4 linked regions of the Neodiprion lecontei genome follow. The protein of the gene in region 3 interacts with the protein of the main gene of each other region in a pairwise test. Links are inferred from orthologs where the notes say so. Each region holds a gene or a part of one and is shown on either strand. Other genes may lie near its edges. The genes, in order: protein kintoun, PDZ and LIM domain protein Zasp, serine/threonine-protein phosphatase PP1-beta catalytic subunit and protein phosphatase 1 regulatory subunit 16A.

What was found.
Region 1: the proteins of serine/threonine-protein phosphatase PP1-beta catalytic subunit (region 3) and protein kintoun interact in binary tests that used the Drosophila melanogaster proteins (3 or more experiments, as listed by UniProt). The link is inferred for Neodiprion lecontei from reciprocal best matches to the Drosophila melanogaster genes flw and Nop17l.
Region 2: the proteins of serine/threonine-protein phosphatase PP1-beta catalytic subunit (region 3) and PDZ and LIM domain protein Zasp interact in a two-hybrid assay, tested with the Drosophila melanogaster proteins (2 studies listed by BioGRID). The link is inferred for Neodiprion lecontei from reciprocal best matches to the Drosophila melanogaster genes flw and Zasp66.
Region 4: the proteins of serine/threonine-protein phosphatase PP1-beta catalytic subunit (region 3) and protein phosphatase 1 regulatory subunit 16A interact in a two-hybrid assay, tested with the Drosophila melanogaster proteins (2 studies listed by BioGRID). The link is inferred for Neodiprion lecontei from reciprocal best matches to the Drosophila melanogaster genes flw and MYPT-75D.

What each region holds. Positions count from the first base shown.
Region 1 is NC_060261.1:38,946,984-38,953,917, reverse strand, and holds protein kintoun, read left to right. Parts: upstream 1-1,937; 5' UTR 1,938-2,062; coding exon 2,063-3,760; intron 3,761-4,559; coding exon 4,560-4,963; intron 4,964-5,135; coding exon 5,136-5,520; 3' UTR 5,521-6,407; downstream 6,408-6,934. UniProt on the Drosophila melanogaster protein: Required for cytoplasmic pre-assembly of axonemal dyneins, thereby playing a central role in motility in cilia and flagella.
Region 2 is NC_060263.1:21,718,523-21,723,144, reverse strand, and holds the start of PDZ and LIM domain protein Zasp, read left to right. Parts: upstream 1-1,618; 5' UTR 1,619-1,786; coding exon 1,787-1,906; intron 1,907-3,235; exon of another isoform or gene 3,236-3,250; coding exon of another isoform or gene 3,251-3,319; intron 3,320-3,500; coding exon 3,501-3,631; intron 3,632-4,622.
Region 3 is NC_060265.1:28,570,641-28,577,922, reverse strand, and holds serine/threonine-protein phosphatase PP1-beta catalytic subunit, read left to right. Parts: upstream 1-2,036; 5' UTR 2,037-2,257; coding exon 2,258-2,309; intron 2,310-2,775; coding exon 2,776-2,847; intron 2,848-4,449; coding exon 4,450-4,937; intron 4,938-5,053; coding exon 5,054-5,152; intron 5,153-5,366; coding exon 5,367-5,606; intron 5,607-5,699; coding exon 5,700-5,804; 3' UTR 5,805-5,849; exon of another isoform or gene 5,850-5,924; 3' UTR 5,925-6,780; downstream 6,781-7,282. Other genes in the region: protein farnesyltransferase/geranylgeranyltransferase type-1 subunit alpha, read right to left, coding at 16-202, 375-575, 679-1,033, 1,276-1,414. UniProt on the Drosophila melanogaster protein: Required for cell adhesion in non-muscle tissues and in maintenance of muscle attachment. Vital for larval development.
Region 4 is NC_060261.1:27,895,501-27,900,542, forward strand, and holds the start of protein phosphatase 1 regulatory subunit 16A, read left to right. Parts: upstream 1-2,019; 5' UTR 2,020-2,165; coding exon 2,166-2,238; intron 2,239-3,158; coding exon 3,159-3,422; exon of another isoform or gene 3,423-3,467; intron 3,468-3,554; coding exon 3,555-3,857; intron 3,858-3,950; coding exon 3,951-4,093; intron 4,094-4,426; coding exon 4,427-4,552; exon of another isoform or gene 4,553-4,560; intron 4,561-4,776; exon of another isoform or gene 4,777-4,790; coding exon 4,791-4,866; intron 4,867-5,042.

The sequences.
Region 1 (6,934 bases), on a different chromosome or scaffold from region 3:
GACCTGACCCACCGCCCCCACCTTCTTCCTCCGTAAGATCGGAAATCCTTACGTGATTTATACTTACGCCAAACTGTTCTGAACGCACGATAATTCATACTCATGTATTTTTTCCTCCACTGCGGCACCGTGAAGTTCGTATGAGTTGTGAAAAATTTATGGGTCTAATGACGGGCGTTCATTTTCACTTTCATTTATTTGAGAACGAATGACCGTGGTACCTATGAATTTTTCAAAACTTATGTAACGTAATAATTGATCGAGAAAATTGTTCGTGATTATATTTCGATTTTACTTCTACTTAATAAATACCGCGTCAAAAAATCATATATTCAAATGAACGTCGAATAATTAATGTACGTTGCCACAACCGATGCTGAATTTCTTATTTAATTTTTGCAAATTTCAGCTTTGAGCAGAATAAATTCAATCGTAACATGGTGCTCTCGTGCCCGGCAGTTGCGAAAACGACTCATTGTTAGTCGCAAAGATGCCCCGAGGGCAATTTCATAATCGGATTACCATCGACATTACGTTTGGGTACAAAGGATGATAGGTTATTAATTTTAGAGAGGAAAGGTGATGTGACCTCAGCAGAAAATAAAAGAGGGAATGTTCGATTTAAGAAGTACCTTTGTATACATGCGCATGTTATTGCTTTACTACAGTGGAAACTTTCGAATTGATAATCCTTCGGGTAACGTAACGTGGTCAGAAACAACAAAAAATAATTAATACACGAATTTCTGTGCATGAACTTTACGTGACTACAGTTTCGCCCTCGATGCAGCGAATTTTACGACTGTAACTATCTTCAATTTCGATAACGAAACACCCAATTATTACGGTCAGTCATCGTATACAATTTACATACGATAAACGTCAGAAAAAAATAATTACATAACTACCGAAACCTTGTTGCAGGCATTAAGAACATGTTTGGTTTGTATAGCGTATGCATGTAGAGAACATTTATTATTTGTCATAATTTTTACACCAATTTAATTAAATTGCATTCAATTTGTTTAGATCCAGATCAAACTTCAGTATCAAGATCGTATTTACAGAACAATTCAACGTGGCTGAAATTTACCGCACAAATAAATGATTAGCATTTGCTTCTTTTCTTAACTTAAATGTAACATAGTTCAGTAATTTTGTAAGTGGCTTTGGCTATTTATTTTATGTACACTAAGAAAAATTTCATGTGTCATAGTAACTAGAAAAATAGAGTAAAACAGATATCGTTGAAAAAAAACAGTCGCTACTGTCGATACTTTTTTGGTAATTGCAATGCAAAATCAGTTTGTTCGGTTTACTCTACTTTTTTAGTTCAATAAGGCTTTAACATCAACTTATCGCAGCACAAGCATTAAATTTTCGGAACAGTTACGAGAAAATATAGTAACAGTGATCGTAATGGGAAAGAATAGTAACGGATACTAGACTTTCTGTTAACAGTTACAAAATTAATTTTCATTTTGTACCTAGAATATTTATACTATATTTTTCGATTGTGGTAAAAAGTGAAAATAATTAAGGACTGAGCTGCAACCGGAACTATAAATTTCTCTCACTGTAATCTTCGTTTCCTTTTATAGACAGCTATTGTAGAATCGGTATTCCAGATAACCCTGTTCGTTCTCGACTGTATATTATTATACCGTATAACGCATTCGTCAGCTACAGGAGCGACGATAAGCTGCCGACGTTGCTCTTTGTGGAAAATCGCTGACAGCGAAAAGTGGTGCAAGTTGACGGACGCAATTCCGCAAATAAAATAATCGCGATGTATGAGAGAATTTGTCCGCGCATCGAGCCGTAAATGTCGGCGGCGCGTTCGCGTCCCGCTCGCGTTTAAAAATCATCGGCTAGTTCGTATAAATTCCACCAGCCGGCCGGCAGAGCTGCGCACATCTGTATGGTCCACGTGGTTATTTGCGCAAGGATTGGATGGAAACTTCTGGGTTGTATTCTCTATTATATATATAGATATATGCTTATGCACCAGTGGCTAAATTAATTAAAGGCACCGAACCCAAACACTAGTATCTACTGGAAGATGGCCGTGTACAACTCGCGATTAAAAAAGAACTGGGAGGATTTGGACGTGACGAAGGAAGAGCTAGAGACGATAACCGACTGTCTTAAGAAGGAGGAATTCCGGAAACTCCTGTTCGATTACGCAGAGGAGGTGACGAACCCCGAGAACAAGAAACTGTACCAGTCGGAGATCGCGCAGCTGGAGAGAGAGAGAGGCGTAGACGTGACGTTCGTTAACCCTGAGCCGGGTTACGTAATAAAAACAAGCGTCGACGGGAGCAGGAAGTGCTTTGTAAACATAAGCCAAAGCTCGAGTGTCGGCAAGCCTTCGAGCCGGCCGAGCTGCGAGGGTGGTAGCCGGGGTTTGCAGTGGTCCATTCCCCACACCTTGGCTCCCCCCCGCGATGACCTCGACAAGAAGAGCGCCCGGTGCGTCGTCTTCGACGTGGTGTTCCACCCGGACACCCTGCACTTGGCCAGCAAGAATTCCAAGTTCCGGGAGACCGTTAATCAGACGGCGTTGGACGGTGTCGAGAGCAGTTTTAAAGTTAAGCTAGACCGGAACAACCTCAAGTTCCCCAAGATGAGCTTCAAGGGTGTCAGCCAGCCGACGGTGATCAGAAAGAAGTCGGAGCGGCCGCCGGTGCCCTCGGACGTTGACCTTGAGCCGGAGATCTACCAGAAGCTGATGACCAGCTACGACGAGAGCCGTGAGGAGCAGCTTCGAGCCATGGACAAACCGGCCGAGCGGCGGTCGCCTTCGACTAAATATTTCAACGAGAGCAGGAGCACGGAGAGCGAGTGCCCCGCGTACACCACGCCAAAGTTCGTCGTCAAGCATCAGGACAGCGTCGATATACAAGACTTTCATAATCACAAAAATGCCAGACTCCATAAAACTATTCCCAAGAAACTTGTCGTTGAAATCGACCTCCCCCTTCTTAAAAGCGCCGGCGACGCCACCCTTGATGTTCAAGAACGGCTGGTAATGCTGAAGAGCGAGAAACCCGCTAAATACCAGCTTCAACTCCCCCTGCCGTACAGTGTCGATCCAGACAACGGCGGCGCAAAATTTGACCCTAAAAACAAGAAGCTCACTGTCACTCTGCCTGTTCTCAGGGGCGTCGTTCCGCTCTGTGACAACAGGGAGGACAGTGGAGTCGACAGTGATCATGGCAGCCCTTTGGCAGACTCTGGCGATGATGAAGGAGCCGAGAAAAAGGCACTGGTTACCGTTATCGACAGGGAAAGTGCGTTTGGTGAATGTGAGGAAGATACCGCGCTAAGAACTAGTAACAAAAGCGTACCTGACGAGCCGGCGTTCATGAAACCTGATGTCAAATATTCCCTTCCTGCCTTTAGCTGTAATTGTTATGATAAAACTCTTGCTTTTACTATCCACCTCAAAAATGTTGATCCTGATTCGATACGGCATAAAATGCTGAAAGAGAATTCGGGCGTTCATGTGCTTCTCACCTCGGTCGGAGCTGGATTTTTTCCCGTTTATTATTCTATGTGCTTTAAGACTGGGCGAGAATCTATTCGTCCCGAATCACTGGTCATAGAGCCTTGGGATAACAATGTTGTCATTACCGTTGCCTTGGAAGATTGCAGGGAAGACGTGAGCAAGTACTTCGTTGGAATTGACGAAGAGTTTATGGAACTCAGGGAACTATTCGCCCCTGTTTCCCTCCAAAATAAACTCAATGAACTTATGGTAACATTTATTTATTATGCTCATCATACTTTTCTCTTCCTATCGAAAACCGGTTTGATCCTCTGCGGTCAAAGCGGTCTGTGTAAATTAGGTGAGCCACGTGCTACTTTACATCAAATTTATCACTGTCCGTAACGTATTTAATTCAACGCTTGGCATACTTTATTAAAACGCTTTATTCGCACACATTTTGAAATAATGGTCTAGGTATTACTTGACACTTTTTCAATCATTACAAGTTGTTTATTATTCAGAATTTTCTATTTTGTAACACGTGTATTACAGTCTGATTCAACATACTTGCAAAAAACGAGGATAGCATTGTTTGTTTTGATTTTGGCGTGACCCAGTCTTTTCGCGTAATAGATTATTTATTATCTCGCTCAATTTTACACAGCACGTATGTGTATTTAACAGCACATGGAGGTAATCCAATGTTGCATTAGTCTAGCACTGATAATACTTATCTTATCGATTGAAATACCTTTTGACGTGTATATACAAAGTCCTATTCACCCTCACCAGTACGTCATGTTCAATTCTCTGTAAAATAAGAATTTCTTTCTTGATTTTTTCATTTTATAATTGTGCATTATCAATCTACCTGAGCTAACAATCTTGCACAAGCCATTGCGAAATTATTACTGAAATTGTACAAGAAGATATGCTTTGATTATTATCAAACTTGAATGCAGTAATAGTTTCTTACATATACCAGTAAGGATTAAGCTTGACTTCCCTGATAATAGCCTGAAACTGAACAATTGTGAATTGAAATTGACATTCTTTTCCTCTTCAGATTCAGCCTTGTCTGCAAACAAATAAGAAGATTGAAGTTATGGGAGAAGGCGATGACATTGTGATTAATATAACGCCAAATCAGTTGGACTCAGACGATGAGGCAGAGCGCGAAGATACAGACTCTTCACGATACGACGATCATAGATCGATATCAGAAAGTAGCGGTGATGAATTAGGAAATATTCCTGGTCCCGCGGGCAGGTCCAAGGGTATACTAAAGTCCCGTCGTAATTATGGCTTTACACGTTCGGTTTCCGAATCGAGCGTAGACGATAGCGCTATGCTTGCTTCTTCTATAGACTTCCATTCCGACTCAATTCCAGAAATAAATTCTGAGTCTGGAAGTTCGAGTTTGAAGAAGACAGTTCGTTTTAATGATGTTGTCGCTCGCCAGTTATACAGGTAATCTTTTGCCAGTCTTTTAACGTATTCTTGTCCCTTTTTTTTTCTCTTCCCTTTCCTTGGACTTGTATTCTTGGCTTTGTTCCATCAAACTTTTTTTATAGCACTGAAGCATCACAATATCTTTGAATAAATAAATCTTGGTGAATCAGGAACCTACAAATTTTTACAGATCCAACTCAAGTATCCTAGGACAGCGTAAGAAGAACCAGCGCAAATTACGCAATAAGAAACGTGCGCACGATCGTAGAACTAGTGAAAGTGAAAACTCCGAGAGCGAGGAGCGTGCGGAAAAGTACAAAATTAGCCCTAAAAATACCCCGGTGGAAAATAGCGTCCATGAAAATGTGAAGCCAATATTAAATTACGATAAATCGATGGTACACAAAAAATCTGAGCACATCGATATAGAAAATCAAAAAAATCACAACTCTCATTCCAGTAAACGAAACGATGAGAGTACAGAGAAAAATCATTGGAATGATGATAATGAAAATGGTACAAACGCTGTTACAGAAGTCTTTAAGAACGATTTAATTTTTGATCTTGATATTTAATTTTTTCCGATTAATGCAATTCCATTTGATGGCTGGTTCTGAATAATTTATAATATTTGTATACCTTAGTTCAAAGAGATCAATCGAAAGTAGATACCTGATCCATGAGATAATAGGGAAGAATACGGTTTTCGATTTCAATGGCGATAAGTAAGAGCAAGAGATAAGTTGAACAGTGGGGAGGAAAAAGTAACACAAATTTTCTCACACGTTCGAGTACAAGATTTCTGAGAGATGAATTATTACTATTATTTTCACGTACGTCTTGTATAGCTCACTAACGACTGCTAGGCTAGGTTTGAGATATATTGATAAAGTTTTAAATGCAACATGCATACACACGTACTAAATATTATGCAATCAATCGTACTATTTTATAGAGTGAAAATTTCTAATCGTTTATTGATTTTTACACGAATTTATACACTTTCATACTAAACGGGAGCTAATGTTCACTCACCATTGATTTGTATAAAAATATTATACTTAATTAAATTGTAGACAATATACAAAGTATAAAGTGAGATCATTAGAGATTCGGCAATATCGGTTAATTGTAAGTAAAATCAGAAACGGTACAGGCAAAATTTGATGAACTTTGCTCAATAGACAAATACAGTCTTTTTGGCTACATATCGAATTTTAAACTTTACAACCGTATTCAACCTTATAATAGTACTGCGGGATAGACAATAGTATTTTACACGCTAAATTAATTATTTCTACATGCACGGGATCAATGAAAAATTCATTGGTCAATATATATTATACCTGGTATTATAAATACGAAAGAAAATTATATATTATGATTTAAAAGGATATTTTGTTCCCAGTGTAATAATCCATGAGAAGAAAATGGGTAATAAACAGTTATGTTATGCAAATAAGGGTTACCTGAAACTTGTATCATTCAAATGCTCAGCACAAGAGCGTACAGGGTAACAATATTCTGCAATTAAGAATAGAATTGAACAAAGACAATGACAAAATTTAATGTGCGATTGATTAGACTAATTTCGAATGTTGAACGATGCAACTGACAACCGTTCCACAGTTATAATCGTTCGGTTCGCAGTTGTCTGAGTTGAGTGGTTTCCGAGATTCAAATTAACGCCTGACGCGGCGTGTAAAGGCAACCCGACAAACATGTTTCCTGCACCATTAGCTGCACGCATAAATGTCGCGTAGCTGGATCGTAAGGATTAGTAACAACAAATGTCGTCGACACGGCGAGATTGCGAAAAGTCACCAGGCTATGCATAATTCGCAAGAGACTATTATGAAAGCTACACATCCAAATAGCAGTATCTGCAAATCTACATACATGGTATAGCGGGATGTACAGACATGTTAACGATAACTTATATGATTTTCGAATCTGTGATCAAACATTGTGAAAAGAAGGTCTGAGATT
Region 2 (4,622 bases), on a different chromosome or scaffold from region 3:
AACATTCGAATAAACTGAATCGCCATTCGGAAACTCAACGATTCGCATATTTTTCGTTTGGGTAATCGACGTTCTACGGTGTAAAAGTATTTGTAACTGTAGAATACAACATGATATCTCTTTTATGACATGGAATATTTTTAATAAAAATGGTAAGTACAAAAATTTCTGGATCACGTATCTAAGTTTATCCGTATAAAAATATCAGTCGTACGTTGCGTCGTAAAGACCGTCAACGCCACTTCCCCCGCACAATTGAAAACTCGAATTTTTTTCCGACTTCTGAGGCATTAAACCTTGCGTAGAGATATCAACGTGGGATGTCACCATCGGTTTAAGAATCGGTCACCGAGTTATTTACCGTCAACCTTGATTTGAAATATTCTAGAAAGTACAAAGTTTTTTTTTTAATTTCAGGGTGACGAGACTTCTTGACTTTTTTTCTCAGAATTAGAAGGAATTTGTAGCATTTGAAAGGAAACAATTGTCGACTTGTCTTTTAATTTTGTCATCTTTGTTGAAAAACGTTACGGAGAATTTTGAAAAAATATAGGAATTTGTTGACGAACCGCTGAAAAAACTTTTATGGCTATATTTTGGTAATAGCATAAGTCACGTAATTCTTATTTATATAATAATAATACTTTGTTCGGGATCAGCTGGAAGTGCCCGAAGCTAAAACTCCGAAATTCACAAAAACACTTTAAATGTACATTCTATCATCGCATCGTAAAAAACAGTTCACTCATGATTGGTGCGTGCTTATCTGAAAAGAAAAACCCTTTTCCAGGACATCCCTTAGATTAACTAAGTTCGTTATTAATGCGAACATACTTGCTGAGCAAAATATATGTTATTTTTAGTTTTTGGTAGAAAAGGTGGTACACCATGAAACGTTCGACCAATTAATAAACTGTCTGGCATGCATTAAGAAAGCAAAGCTGCGTGCAATTCAACCCTTATTCTACACATTTCAATTTATCAGAGCACAGACAATAAACAACTGAATTGAATAACATGATTTTATAGCGGCTGAAATGCTTTGCGAAAAAAATCCACAACATTTTGTGATAACTCTAGTATTTTCTCTGTTAATCTCGGAAAAAAAAAGTGAATTTTTACACGATTTCAACGTCAACTTTGAATAACTTTTGAAACTGTCGAGTTATGAAAAAATTACTAGAGACCTTTTTTGTAAAGCATTGAATTCCCTACAAAAATACGTAGCTCAAATTTATCTCCGTTGCCTCGTTACTGAGCTACACAATTCAGAGATGACTAAAATTATTTTCGCGCGTTAATTAAATGGAAAATGAATGATTGCGTTCAGGAATCACCAAATATAAACTTTAAAGGGTATGACTATTAAACGTGTGTCGTTGAAAGAAATAAAATAATAGTCGATTTTTTTGGACCACCCTAGTGTTTACGTGTCTAAAATTGTTTATCTATATCAGTAAATATATGCACGTAGAAGAGAATCAAGTCCGGCGCCGGGAGTGCAGAGCCAAAACAGTACAAAGCGTATGCCAATTTCAAATGAGGGCAAAACTAGTTGAGCAACTAGGCACGCGGAGACTGGGTTAGCCCTGTCAAAGTCAACCCAAGAGATCGTCTGCAGTTCACCAGAAGCTCCTGACGTATAACAGCATTTGGGCCGTACTTGATCAACGTTGATATCTCTTCGCGAGCTTGAGATTACTTTTGTCGCAACGAAATTCTGTAGACTCCAATCAGATCCGATTCCCATTCTTCCTTGTTGCTGCATCGTTGTTGCCGAAACATCATGACCGTCAGCAAGAAACAAACTGTCGTTGTTAAACTAAAGCGAAGGGACCGCGATCAGCCTTGGGGCTTTCGTATAGCTGGTGGTGTTGATTTAGGGACACCTATCATCGTCACCCGGGTGAGTTGAAGGTTCTTTCGTGCATATCCGTGCGATTGAGTTTCAAATTTCTTTACATTTCATTTTTTTTATTTTTTTTTATTTTATTAACAAAATTGGGGTAAAAAAATCAAATCTGCTCAGTTGCGAAGAAGTTTTCATCACTACACGATCATTCGTAAGCATGGTAATCATTCACTTTCGTGAGTGATTTTACCAAAAATGCGCCCGTATGTATAAAGTATGAATATAGGTGGTATGTATTCGGGTGTTTTACAAAAAAATAATTTACGATTTTTCACCGTGGCATCAGCTGAAAAGTTTGTTCAGCTTAGGAGAAAGATTCTGTCAAAAAGTGAGCGGTCTACGTTATGTGGAAGATCGCGCTCATTTATTTTTCACTTTTTTCACATTTTTTCTGAATTTATGAATAAACACGTTGCAGCACTGCAATCATTATTTCTTTCCTGACATTTATATACGAGCCTGAAATCACGATCCACAACGCAAGAAAATATCAACCGAGAATCTTATTCTCCTGAATTAAAAGTTCATACTAAATTTTAACTATTTTATGAGATATTGAATTAATAATGTAAAATATCGTTTGCTGTACACTTCTCAAACATCAACTGGCGACTTAATATCACAAGTGTGGGTCTTCTTTGTGACGTAAATTGATATTATGATGATGGATGTAAGCAATAAGAAAAAAAAAGATTCATTCACGATACTTCATAAGTTTATAAAAATGTGTAAAAGTGAAAAATCAACTGAGCGCGATCTTCCACGTAACGTAGAACGCTCATCTTTTTACTGAATCTTTCTTTTGACCTAAATGAACTTTTTAGAGGGTGCCTTGATGGAAAATCGCAAATTATGTTTTTTTAAAACACCCTAATATGTATAGTTATGTATGATCAGATTAAATCATAGGTATAACAGGGAGAGCAATACTTTCGAAATTCAGTTGATCGAAGGTTAATATTTTTTACGTCGATTGTAATTATATTCATGTAAGTCTTATAAGCTAACGTGTGATATTACGTGGCTTCTTACGTCTGGTAATAAGAAGTAAATATGTTCTAGTTATTATATAGCATAAATGTGCTGGTAGTCGGGCACCATTTCATTTAATGCTTACTATTTGTTTTTTTTCAATCAGAATTTAGCGTACACTTCCGTAACCGTCAAATGAAATGGGCATGTGCCAAAGAAAGCTCTAGTGTATAAAATGTAGCCTTTTAATTGCGCGCATGCGCCAACGTTGTTTTATCGCACTGTTTCGTAAATGAGACACTTCAGGCACGCTCCTTAGGCTTTGAAAATTTAACTTACCAGCGAGTGTTGGAAAAATTAATTTCCATGATAAAACAACAATCACATTTACTCCGTCAATCGTTGACTTCAGTTAGCACTTGTGAGGATAATATGGTAAACATTGATAGCCACTCACAATTAGCGTAAGACGAATGAAAATTCATTAAACCCGTATGGAACCGATGCGATGTGACGATTTAACAACTCGCGACCTTATTAGCCATAATTGACGTGAGAACAATTGGTCGATCGCTTAACCCAAGACCCACAATTTGAGTTTTGTTTTGTGTTTCAGTCGGAGAATGAAGACCTCCTCAAGGGTGACGTGATAAAGAAAATCGACGACTACGACGCCAGAGATGTGCGTCACGTCGACGCGCAGCATCTCCTCCAAAAGTCTGAATCTGTTAAGCTTGTTGTCGAAAGGTTTGACCCCAGAGTAAACCACCATTACTAATCTTGCCTAAAAATTATTTGAAAATTTTTTTTTTACCACAACGAATTCCTCCGACTCCTTAATCGTATGTTACACTTTCGTAATGCAAATTTTTAACTTACCTCTACGAATTCATTTATTTTCGCACCATTAATTAAGTTTATAACGTTTGTAATACATAATCCGAAGAAATGCGATTGACGATGAGAAGTCACCGCTTAACTTAACGTATCACAGAGCTCAAAGTGATAGGAAAACGCGTTTTGGTACATCGTGTGGGTTCACGTTAAAACAGATTTCACATTCGGGAATAACAACGTTTTTTAGACGAAGTGCCCATCGCGTCAAATTTTGTTTTCAACGACTAAAAGTGCAAAAAATTTTAAGACAAAGGTGCCAATTCGAAGAAGTAAAATTGACCAATGTGTTTCTACAAAACGGTCAGGCCTAAAAAACTGACAATTGGAGAATTTTCATATCTCAGTGTACGCTATAATATATTCAAATTTCAATATCCGAATCGAAATTTTTACTCCAAAAGGGTGGCTAATGCTTCGTGATCCACCCATGCATATTAACGTTCGTAAATAATTTACGGAAAAATATTTTGAATATTTATTACACCTGCATATCTACAGATATCAGATACACCTAATTGTACAATACGCGTTATCTAATAAAAAAAAAGCTGAGAAGAAAAATTTCACAAAATAATAATACTTTTTCAAAATTACAAATTTTTCAATATTTTCTAGTGTTACCAAGAATTTTCTACCAAAGCTTTCGCTAGGTATATATAAAATACAAGACGCGCCGTGTGTTTTGATATAAAGATTGTCAGGGATGGTCGTGTCACAGTGCCAAGGTGATAAAATTTCGTGACATTTAATTGCTGAATCGGCTAAACAGACCGCAGCACGTGTCCAGCCTTGTCTTCATACAGCGATCGGTGGAACGCTATTCCGCCTTGAATAAAAGAAA
Region 3 (7,282 bases):
AATGCTGTTGCTTACTGCAAGCGCACGTTCAATAGTGAATGGTGATTCTGGTTCTATGTCAGCGCCGTGTCTCTCCTGGCAAATGTCTATCATGCAGGCTAGCAGATGTATGCTCCGCGAGCCTCCTGCATACAATGCTTCGCAACTCTCGAGGACTTTTTTATTTCGCCCGAGTCCGCCTTCACCATCGTGCTGCAAGATGCTAATGAGAAAAAAGGCGAGAAAATAAGCAATGTCAAAATTTTACTTGGCGCTTGGTAGTTCGCAATCAATACTTGCATGAACTGTCACATTACAAGTGAATTTTTTTCTTTCCTCATTACCAGAAATATGTAAATCAATGTGACTATATTTTTTTGGCTACAGATACGAACCCTCTAAGATAATTCCATGCACTTTCATTCCCCTTGACTAGCTCGATTTTCTTCAAAGTATAATCAACTTCTCGTTCAATAACATGCGGCTCAAACTTTGTTGTATTATTCAAGACAAAGTAGCGTTGATTCCAAGCAGAATTATTTCTCACGTCGGCGTCCAGCAGTTGCTCAACATATTCCAACTCTCCGTCAAACAAACTGGCAATTGAATATGCACGTTTATTACTCTAGTAAGCAATTTTTTGTGCTTGAACAGAATACTACTTACGCTAAGAAAAATAAATTCGTAAAAAATACTTGCTTGAAAGTTTTTATAATCCATTGGCGATGCTGCCACGCATGATAATTCTTCGCATCCTTTTTCAGTACATTTTCAGTCAGAGCTAAGTCCAAGCTTGGATCTTGGAGCCATTCCACGATTACCCTCCGGTGATGCCATACTTGGTAGTTTTTTGGAGTTCTTCTAATCATTGTTTCTATATACTTGAGTTCGTTCCAGAGGTTCTTGTCCAGTGCTTTCAATATCTCTCTCCTGTACTGCCATACCGTATAATTTGCTGAATTCAGCGTTATGCAGTCCCCCGTTAAGTTCAGAGCTCGCTCAGACTTTTCGCCAGACTTCAGAATGGCTCTGAAGTAATCGTATGCATCTTTGACTGTGAAAACGGTTTGAAACTTGATAGTTTTTATCAATTCAAATCGAAATTTGCATGATTCACATCGTCGATTTTGCGTTGATCTCAACTGTTTATAAGCTAAATTATAATAGGTTACATCCACATTGTGGACCCACCTGATCGGTTATATTCTGAAAGTTTCGTGATTCGAATCTGACGCATAAACTACCAAGAAATAATTGACGAAACAATTGAACGAATTGAATATTTAAATATCTTACATGTTTCGGAATAGGCAATCGCGACAATTGGGTGAGGTCCATCATCCTGTGGAACAGGCGTAACGTCCTTCCATTCATTTCTGTCCCTGTAGAAAACCCAGGTGCTCGATATTTCTTCTTCTTCAGAAGAGTCAGACATATTTTCACCCGGCAAACGTGGTCATAAGAATTTTAACTAAACCCGCTCGACTTTAGCTATCGTCCTCTTTTCTTAATCCCACCCGATTTCTACCCGTATTCCACGTTCGGGTCCTACTGTATAATCTCACCGCATATCTCACAACCGCAAAGCCGCGGTCGCGAATTTCAGTGCTACCAACTTAGGTTTAATAAACAAAATCAAAGTCATGCGCATCGACATATAGGTATATGTCCGTGGTCATGCGTTCCCAGCCATCGAGGCATAATAAACAAAATTGAAGCGGTGCGATCCGAAATTACGCGTGACTTACAGAACACTATCGTATCGGTCTATTGACCATGAAATAATCATACAGAAGAATTATAGAGACGAATTATAAGGCAAAATTAGAGAATGTTAGGTAGAATCTGACAAACGGAACTGCGTGATGTGATATATTTAAATATACCGTAGTGGAGTACTGGATAGCATACGCGCCATTGAAAATGTGTATACATGTGTAGATGGCGCTTATAATAGTTTTCACCATGGTTTTACATACAGACCGTGGTTTTCACGAGTGAAAAATGTCAGAATCAGGACCCAGTATCGGCAGTCAGTAACCTCGGTTTCGGAACACACGTTGCGTCGGGATTAGGCCGAGTGAAGACTTCGGAACGCGCGTATATCGCAAGGTCAAGAAAAAGAAGTTAGCGGCATCTGGTGAGTGCTTGTGAATGTAGTGTGTGGTCGAGGGTCAAGCCTCCAGGGCGAAGCGCCTAGTGGAAACAAGGAACTATAGATCTACTTGTTCCGACAAACGACTTCCTAGGAGTTGGGACCTAGAGTAGTGCAGAAAAAATGGCGGATGCGGACTTGGATATCGACAATCTGATACAGAGATTGCTTGAAGGTACGTCTAAAATATAATATAACGATACGGATGTCATGGCCAAAGTAATACCGTCTATCGCATCTCTTTACTAACATACGCCGAGCCTTTATTTCCCATGATATTTCACGTTATAATCGTAAACCAATTATATGCTGTCTAGTGTGTTTTCTATACTAGCAATGAAAAATATCACTTCTTTCCTATACTCTCTTATCTCTTCTCTTTCTTCCCACATTACCGCTACTATTTCTCAGTCTATTCGTACATTATTATGAAAGAAACGTCGTTGGCTCACTCCACACTTGTCAGCTGTTTCCTATAACAGAGAAAAATTGGAAATAAACGACTAATTGTTGTCTTAACGGACACCGTTTGTCGGTATGGACACATCGTATATTGATTTTTTATTTGTTTTCGTAAAATTTTCTGTTTTTTTTCTCTGTCATGCTAACCGTATTTGTGGGGATGATCTTTTGCGGTAAAGTATATCAAACGCAGAAAGAACAGGTTCAGAAAAAGGCTAAACTTAAAGACATTTTTACCTCAGACTTTGTCGGTATGCCAATTTATTAATATATTAAAAAAAATTTTTTCTCATTGTTAATTTTTTCTTTTTTATTTCACCGTTACCATTTACCAAATGCATCCACATTAATTGTTATCGATATATCTATCAGTTTGCGTTCTCACACTATTGAATGCAACATCAGCACCAATCCTCCCTTTTCTTCATGTATCAATCTCGTATTTCGATACACACGGTCGAGCTCACACAAACCTTACACAGTGAAACGCTCGTCTTGAGAACAAAGTTCCATACCACTTCCAGCAATATTGTTTACCTTGCAAGATTTGCTAAATATAGATTTTATACTCCAAACACCACGTGGCTTTGCTCGGATTAGACTTGGGCTTCAAATTAAATTCGTCATCACCAAGGGGAACTAAATCTAGAACTATGTTTGTACGTTCTTGTCTTGCGACATTCATTTTAGTCAACTTCAGCAGTATATTTCTTTCAATATCTTGCCGTCGCTCTGTTAATTATCATTTTTATCTTTGTTGCTAGGCGCATGTCTTGTCTATATACATAAATTGCTAGTTACGTTTTCTTTCTATTGATAATTACCATCAGATGTAGTCCTTCTAACATTTAAAAAAGAAGAAAAAAAAAAACAATAGGTAAGAACTCGAGCTCTGCATAACAGAGAACTTGCTAAGTGCGGTAAATTTTCATTGCAACATGACAGGAAAACAAAAAGATTAGACTTTTATCCACTGTTCGCATTATTCTATCCAATAAGTACAGGATGTAGTGTCATTGGTGATACGACGACCTATCTATACATTTTATTTCGTAATAGTTACAGTCATCGTCATGCAAAAGTGATCCAACTACACTGCATAGGCCTTCAAAGTCGTCTATAAATAACAAATTAACACTACCAAGCTGGAGAACATCTGCTTTATTTTGATTACGTCACTGTAAATACAGTCCATCTAAACTTTGCTTCGTTAAATTTTGTTTCTTCATTTTGTTTTGAAGATATTCTTTAACGACGGCGATCAACTAGTTGCTTATTCTTCGAAAAGTAACTAACTGTAACACAATATCCGACAGTCATTTCTAGCTTGTATAATAAAGCACAGAGAATTTTCTTTTCTTTTTATTACGTAGGTAACAGAATATTTGGTCACTTAACTTGTGGGTAGTATTCCAGCACTCCCCCCTGATCTTGAAATACTTTTAGCAACATCTCTTGGCAGAATGTCACCACACTTTTGCATAATTACTTTTTGATTTCCTTTCTCTATCGTCGTTCCAGTATAAACGCAACGGTACTGTATAGTTGTAAATTACCAAACTGTATAGATAGATAGTAACGTAGTTATACATCGTAGAAAATAAAGATCCCAAAAAAAGATTTGATTAAATTAACCCTTTTAGCGTAGCATTTTGTAAAAAGTTAGTTTTCGGCACAACAAACTATTAAAGCCGTACAATTTATATCATAGTAGAGAGCATCAACGTTCTATGAAATCATAATTCATTCATTGTTAAACTTGCAAAGCTGATGTTGAAAAAATAAATCTGCCTCGATGTTATGACTCTACTAGCGAATACCGCTGACTATAAACTCGAAAATTTTGGACACAGTGCGAGGATGTCGACCTGGGAAATCGGTGGTAATGACAGAGGCCGAAGTGAGAGGCCTCTGTCTGAAATCGCGGGAGATATTCCTTCAGCAGCCGATACTACTGGAGCTCGAAGCACCGCTTAAAATATGCGGCGATATTCACGGCCAGTACACAGACCTGCTGCGGCTATTTGAGTACGGCGGATTTCCTCCAGAGGCAAACTATCTCTTTCTAGGTGACTACGTCGACAGAGGCAAACAGTCTCTGGAAACGATATGCCTGTTACTCGCCTACAAGATCAAATACCCAGAAAACTTCTTCTTGCTAAGAGGAAACCACGAATGCGCCAGCATAAACAGGATATACGGATTTTACGACGAATGTAAACGCAGATATAATATAAAACTGTGGAAAACCTTTACCGATTGCTTCAACTGCTTACCCATCGCCGCTATTATCGATGAAAAGATATTCTGCTGCCACGGCGGACTCAGTCCTGATCTCCAGGTGATTATTTAATTCGTATTTTTGAGAAAAGTTTGAACACTTTTCAGGAAAAGTTAGATGCAAAAACAAAAATTACATCAAATGATTAAACGTAACGAGTAACATTGGTTTTACAGGGAATGGAGCAAATCAGAAGAATCATGCGTCCAACCGATGTTCCAGATACAGGACTTTTATGCGATCTCCTTTGGTCTGACCCCGACAAAGATGTTCAGGTGTGTATAAAATGTATTAGAATACGCCGGGTGTAGCAGGATACAGCGTGTTACCTGTCTCTATTTATATCGTTGTGTAATAACTTATCAGATGGTTCGAAGCAACGGTGTACAGCACACGACTGTCTAAACACGCCTACAATGTTGATTCTGAGCTGCGTCCAGCAAGATTTTACAATGCGATGTAATGTGAGGCTGTTTTTCTCTCCCGCAGGGATGGGGCGAGAACGACAGAGGCGTATCTTTCACATTCGGACCTGACGTAGTTTCCAAATTCCTAAGTCGACACGATATGGATCTCATATGCAGAGCTCACCAGGTCGTCGAAGATGGTTACGAATTTTTTGCTAAAAGGCAGCTCGTCACACTTTTCTCAGCTCCGAATTACTGCGGGGAATTCGACAACGCCGGCGGAATGATGAGCGTCGACGAAACTCTGATGTGCAGTTTTCAGGTAATCTTCACTTTTCGTTTCTTATTCACCAGCGAAGATGACCGATTACTTTGATGCCCCTTTTCTACATTGTTCGATTTAAAATAAAAACAGATCCTGAAACCTTCTGAAAAAAAAGCAAAATACCAGTACAGTGGAATGACTGCGCAAGGTGGCAGGCCATCTACGCCGCAGAGGAATCCAACAAAAAAGAAATGACCACCTTTCGCTGATCCCGCGTAGCAGCAAACACTTTCGTTCTAGGTAAGATGATTATAGAGAGAGAGAGAAAAAAACAAACAAGTATATTAATAAATATCTAATTTTTTATCTATTCAGACTGAATGATTTACGATGCAAATACTGTGAATACTTACGTCACATGATAAAATCGATCCCTGTGAATATAGAACACTGCAACAGGCCTCCTAAACGTCTTAGACTCGATTTGCAAAAAAATTTAAAAGAAAACGAAGAAAAGTTAAACTCCACTGGGAGACCTGCCATAAGTTCTCTTTTGATCTTTAGCTATTTTTCAGCTGATAGAATTTTCATCGCCTTTCAATGAATAACGCGTTTTACTGAAAATATATAACGCCGGAAAGGAGGCAAGGGTTCAGTGACACATATTGAAGGAAGTAACCTAGTCTCTACAATTATAATTAAACAAATCAGATTATATTTATTAAATTATTGTTAATAATTGAATCAGTGGCAGTTATAGACGATAATCACGACTCATGAATCACTGCGGTGAACGATTTGAAGAAAAGTATATAAATAGATGGGAGGAGCTTTAACTTACATTGAACGACGACGTCGGACGTTTTCAGTTAACTTTTCCGTGCATTGATCTCGCTTTGCTTTAGTTTATAAAATAACATTACCTCTTTTAAATCCAAAATTAATCAGCCATACTGAGTCCTGAAGATTCCAGAGACATTTAACCTGCTTAAATCCTAAATCATACCAACAATGTGAGTAAAAGTTGACCGAAATCCGTAGAATATTGGACTTGATTTTATTTTTCTATATGTTTCAGCTGTGGAACGTGTCACTACAGTATGTACACTAACTAAAAACTCATAATTCAAAACGAAACGAAATAAAATGAAAAAAAAAAAATAAACAGAAAACTTGAATACTTAAAACGGGAAACGACATCTTCCTTATTACATCTCAATTACACTATTATCGCAGGATGCTTCTTTGTATAAAATATCGATCAATATATACATTTTTTTTTTTTTTGTTCCTCTAGTTAGAAAAAGTCACTTTATCGACTGCCCAATTTGTTTATAAGGTGAACAAAATCAGCGAGTTCCGTCAACATAAGCACTAAAAAATAGCACATGTACTTCATATACTTGCTACCATTCTCAGTAACAGTTATTCATTTTCTCTTACATGATGATCGATCCTTTTCTATTTCACTCATTTTTGCGTTTAGCAGCATTTTTACTCCTAATTATTTATTATTACTATTTGTTCGTTCAATTTCGACAGGCAGGTTTATATATATATATATTTTTTTTTTTTTGCCTCGTCCTAACTTAATTATTGATAAACACTCAGCATACACAAGGAACGCCATACATACGACTATACCTTCGTGTAAATTATTGTTATTATTATCATCATTATCATCGTCATCATTGTTATTAATAATGTTATCATTATTATTATTATTGTTATTA
Region 4 (5,042 bases), on a different chromosome or scaffold from region 3:
ACAGTTTTTTCATTGTGAGAATGATAAAACATTGAGATTTCTTCAAAGCCATCAAAAGATCAGCTAGTTTAGATGAAATTTTTGATTTAAAAATTTTTTTTTCTGTGTTATTGTATCAATGAAATTTAAATTGATGAACTTTAATTGCATTTCCAAACCTTCGTTATATGATATTTCCGTCTTCACAGCTCTTTCACTGTCGTGTATGTCTGGTACATCCTTAAAGAGAAGCGTTGGAAATTTCTAAGTTGTCTGGTCGTGTCTTGTCCAAGAAATTGGCAGAAACAGTAATCGCAAAAATGAAAGTTGATAATCCTCAGAACGGCGAAAAAGTATCGATAGAGGGTGTCTAGTGTGTCATGAATTGAAACAATTTTAGTCAACTTTGGATTCTTTTACCATCTTAGAAATAGTTCATTCGTACAGAATGGAGAAAATTATCTCATTTATGAAACACAACTAACTCTAGAGAGGGGGAGAGAGTGTGAGAATCGGATAGTTAACCTAAGACGGGATAGCCGTAAGCCTCGATATTCTGAAAAATCTATAATTGTCGAGACAATTGAAACAGTACACGTCGTTTTCTACAAATGAAATATACATTAAATTACATGGGTTGAAATTTTTCTTTGATCTGTGCTGAATTTTAGTCCTTTTATGTCGTCACAGATAATTTTAGATTCTTACCGATAACAGGACTGGTGACTAGTCACTTTTTTCAGTCTGTCATTTCGTCATATTCAGCATAAAATGATCGGTCAGTGCGCTTTTGTTGTTGAATTAGTAGCGAATTCTAATTGTAAATTTGAATATACGTTACATCTATCCCTGCACATTTAAATTTCAATTCTCTAGCGAGAGTAATGAAACTTATCGCTTACATGAAATTTTACGCGCAGCTTCTAAGAACCGTAACAAACAAACGTTTTTATAAAATTATCTTATTTTTGTTTCATGATTCACCGCTTACGTGAATATTTGAGGAACAAATAATTTCCTTGAAACATTACTACTCGAAAAAAAACAACTATTGTCCACCCGTGTCAAGTAATATTCTATGTTAGTAAATTTGGCAATATGAAACGTATTATCGCCTAATATAGATATTCTACATGATACATGAACTAGGAATTAATTATCAAGAATAGTAAATAGACGTAGCAAATGCAAGTAACGACCTAAAGTTTTCTCATTGAATTGAATTCTTAGTAAGTTTTTTGATTGACACTTGCTAACAGAAAAAACTTGATTTTTCAAATTATGTAATTTTCTGTTCCTTTGAAAATATATTTGTTTCATAATGTTGTGCATCTTCAATAGAAGTAATACATAGTAAGTTACATTTGAGGAGAAATCAGCAACATTTTTTCCGCAACTCTGAAATCATATGATTCTATACTTTTTGAAAAAATATTACTAGTATTTTGTCGTTACTCATAAATTAATTCTTCCGAAATTAGTTCGTCGGAATTATAATACTGATTCATATACTTGATACTAAACAAAATTGCAAATCAATGATGTAACATTTAGCCATAATTTTACCATTTTATACTCACCAATAGCTAATTAGGTTTCAATCACTTTTCACAGAAAAAACTTTTCTAGAGTAAAAATTAAGTGACGGTCATTTGCTTTATGATCTTTTGATTTACATTATCTAAAAAAAAGTACGTCACCATCAAGGTGATATTTATTCGATAGTCTTTACCGTTTTCAACCGAGACATGTTTTAAGGGATAACGAAGATTGAATTAATTAATACACTTGGTTTGGAAAGTCTATGCGTATTGCTTAGTTATGCAAAAAAATCTGCATATTTTCATTTCTGTGGTATCTCGAATCTTTGCTACGCTGCTGCTGTGTCTTGCTTGTTTTTCACAAAACATTATCTCGGTCTTGTAAACCTTACGCAGACAAAGGCAGCTTAGTAAATAAGTATAAATATGTAACTCGGTGAGACTGGATGTTGACGTCGTAGATGCGTGATGAGAGTCAGGCGCGATGTGTATGATAGAAGAAGGCAGGTCTACATCAGCCACGCACCTACTAACAACGAAGAGAATCGTTATAATTTTTTCAAGTCATTATTGAACTGTGCAAAGTAAGGAATAGTGAATGTGACGAGAAACCGACGCTGGTTTTTATAAATAATCCAGAGCAAAATGATGAAGAATAGGGTTCACCAGGGAGCAAGTTGCTTAACTAAACTTGCCGGCAAAGCTCGCGGCCGCAAAGGTATTTGCAAACGTTGATTTGTAATTTCAATCACAATATAGCTTCACCGTCACCGCTTCTCATTCGCTAAAGTTTTATTAATTGTTTTCGATACTTTTACGTGAAAAATTTGTGTGGAATCAAGTCGGCTGAAATGAGACCATCTGTTTCTTTCTTTCGTAAACCTTGGGTTTACTCATAGAAATGTTGAATTATTGTCAGGTTAATAAATGTATGTAGATTGGAAAAAATTGTCCCTTTACTACATTTGAAAAACGTGATCTTCAGATTTAGAGGTGGCAGCGGTTTGAAATTTATGATAAGGATTCAGGACTGCAATAAGTGTAGCAGTCATTTTAGTTCAGTATTCCTTCGGAGGAGAATAATCAGCGGAATGAACATACGGTGCAATTTAAGGCCGTTACATAACATATTTTCGGTCGATGTACTTTTTCTCCGATGTATACGAATCTATCCGCAAGTTTTCTGTGTGGGTAATAATTTTAAAATTATTTTCAAACCTGGAAAATTACCTTGAAAGTATGTCGATAGGAAACAAAAATGAGCAAAACCGATAACTGTTCACTAAAACACTTTTATTTTAGTCTAATTATCCCTTAGAAAAACCTAAAGTTTCTCCATTTTAACAAGAAAGGTTTCCGATGAAAATTCAGCCAAAGTAAAAGCCCATATCTGATACCTTTTTTTTGTCTACTTTTACAACCTGTGCCTCATTCCATGTCATGTAAGCTGTCGCCTGTTGAAATATAGTGCTGATCTCATTGCGATTATATATGTTGTCAAGGTTTTAAGAGATTTGAATAAAGTGAACTAAAGATGACATTCGCTTCTGTTTCGATGTACTAATGAAAATGTTGTGTTTGAAATGTACGATTTTGATGGTAGTTTGCTGTCTTTATTGATCATTTTAATATTTCCAGGTAAATATAGCTGCAAGAGTTCCAAACAAACCATCATGGAGCACTCGGACTTGGTAGCAGAGATGATGCACATTGAGAGATTGACGACTCAGGAACGACTCCATTTGGCACGTCATCGGAGGCTGCAGCAGCTGAAGCAATGGCGTCATCGAGAAAAAGAATGGCTCCGTCACCAGAATAAACACCCAAGCAATAAACGTCACATATTTTTTAGCGACAGCGTTATGCTTCTAGAAGCTGCGGCTAGAAACGATCTCGACGAAGGTAGTGTAGCGAGGCAAAATCCTTCCTCGCCTTTGATTTGTTTCTCTTGATGTATTATGAAAATGAAAAGGACAGAATTATCAATGGGACAGTGTATATTTATATCTATTGAATATATCTTGCGCCCATTAGTGAGAAGGCTTTTGAAGAAAGAGGTGAATCCTGATTCTACCAACGAGGATGGATTGACCGCGCTGCATCAATGTTGCATTGATGACAATGAAGAAATGATGAAAATACTCGTTGAATTTGGGGCCAACGTCAATGCGGAGGACAGTGAAAAGTGGACGCCACTTCACGCTGCTGCGACTTGTGGCCATCTTCACTTAGTACGCTACCTAATTGCGAGGGGTGCTAACTTACTGGCCGTCAACGCGGATGGAAATATGCCGTACGACATATGCGAGGATGAGAAAACCCTCGACTGCATAGAAGGTACGACGCTGAAAGATTTTGGCGAGGAAATTCAAAAACGTCGTCGTAGTCGATTTTAATCTTCTTTCTTATTAATGAAAATATATTTTTCAGGTGAAATGGCAAGACGCGGTGTTACGCAAGAATTAATTGACGAAACTAGGGCTGGAACTGAGGTGCAGATGTTGCGAGACCTGCAGAAGATCGCAGCCCAAGGTGGTGACCTAGAATATACCGATCATCAAGGTGCTACACCTGTGAGTACGCAAAAAACGTGCGCTACATTCAGACATAGTGAATTTGAACTCAAAAAATCTATAGTAACGCGTTTTGTTCAATCGTATTGTCACTTTGGTACCGTGAATTAACGTGCAACAATTTTGGAAGTAAGATTAAGGGTGTTATTTACCTAGAGTGCTACTAGAAATTAGCATTGTCTTAGAAATTGCGCAAACAAGAAGGTAAATACGAAGGATCGTCTATGTGGTACAACTCAGTTGGACCTAGGCAACACCTTTAATTTAAAGTTACCGCTTTCCATAATCGTATCGTCAAGAAAACTTGCTACTTATAATTATTTTTCATTACAGCTTCACATAGCAGCAGCAAACGGGTACCTCAGAGTCGTTGAATTTCTTCTTGATCAGCACGTTTCAACCGATGTTGTGGACAATGATAAATGGCAACCTGTTCACGCAGCTGCCTGTTGGGGACACGTGAGTGACTGTTGATGAAAGTTTTTTACTTAGAAAACTGTCAGCCAGTCTCACATTTAAAGAGACAAATCGTATTCTAATAATAGTTTTACCACAGCAGTTTTCTATCCCTTTCAAGTGTAATATATTTTATATTTAAATGCAGAAATGACAATTCAATTATTTTTGGCACGATCTTTACTGACAAATGTCTCTAGTTATAAATATTATTGACAAGTTTTTACCATGTGGTTTACAGCTCGAGGTGCTTGAGTTGTTGGTACACAATGGAGCTGACCTGAACGCGAAAAATAAACACGAAGAAACTCCTGCCGGTGAATAAATTGTACACTTTTCCTTTGTCGCTTGCAAATTCTGTTCACCAAGTATACAGATATGTTCTAAACTTTGGGGTTGGAGGGGGGCCAACGAAAAAATTAAGTTGTATACAATTGTCCACGCAGAGACAGATTGTATGTTCAGCTGACAATGAGCCAACGTGAGTTATACG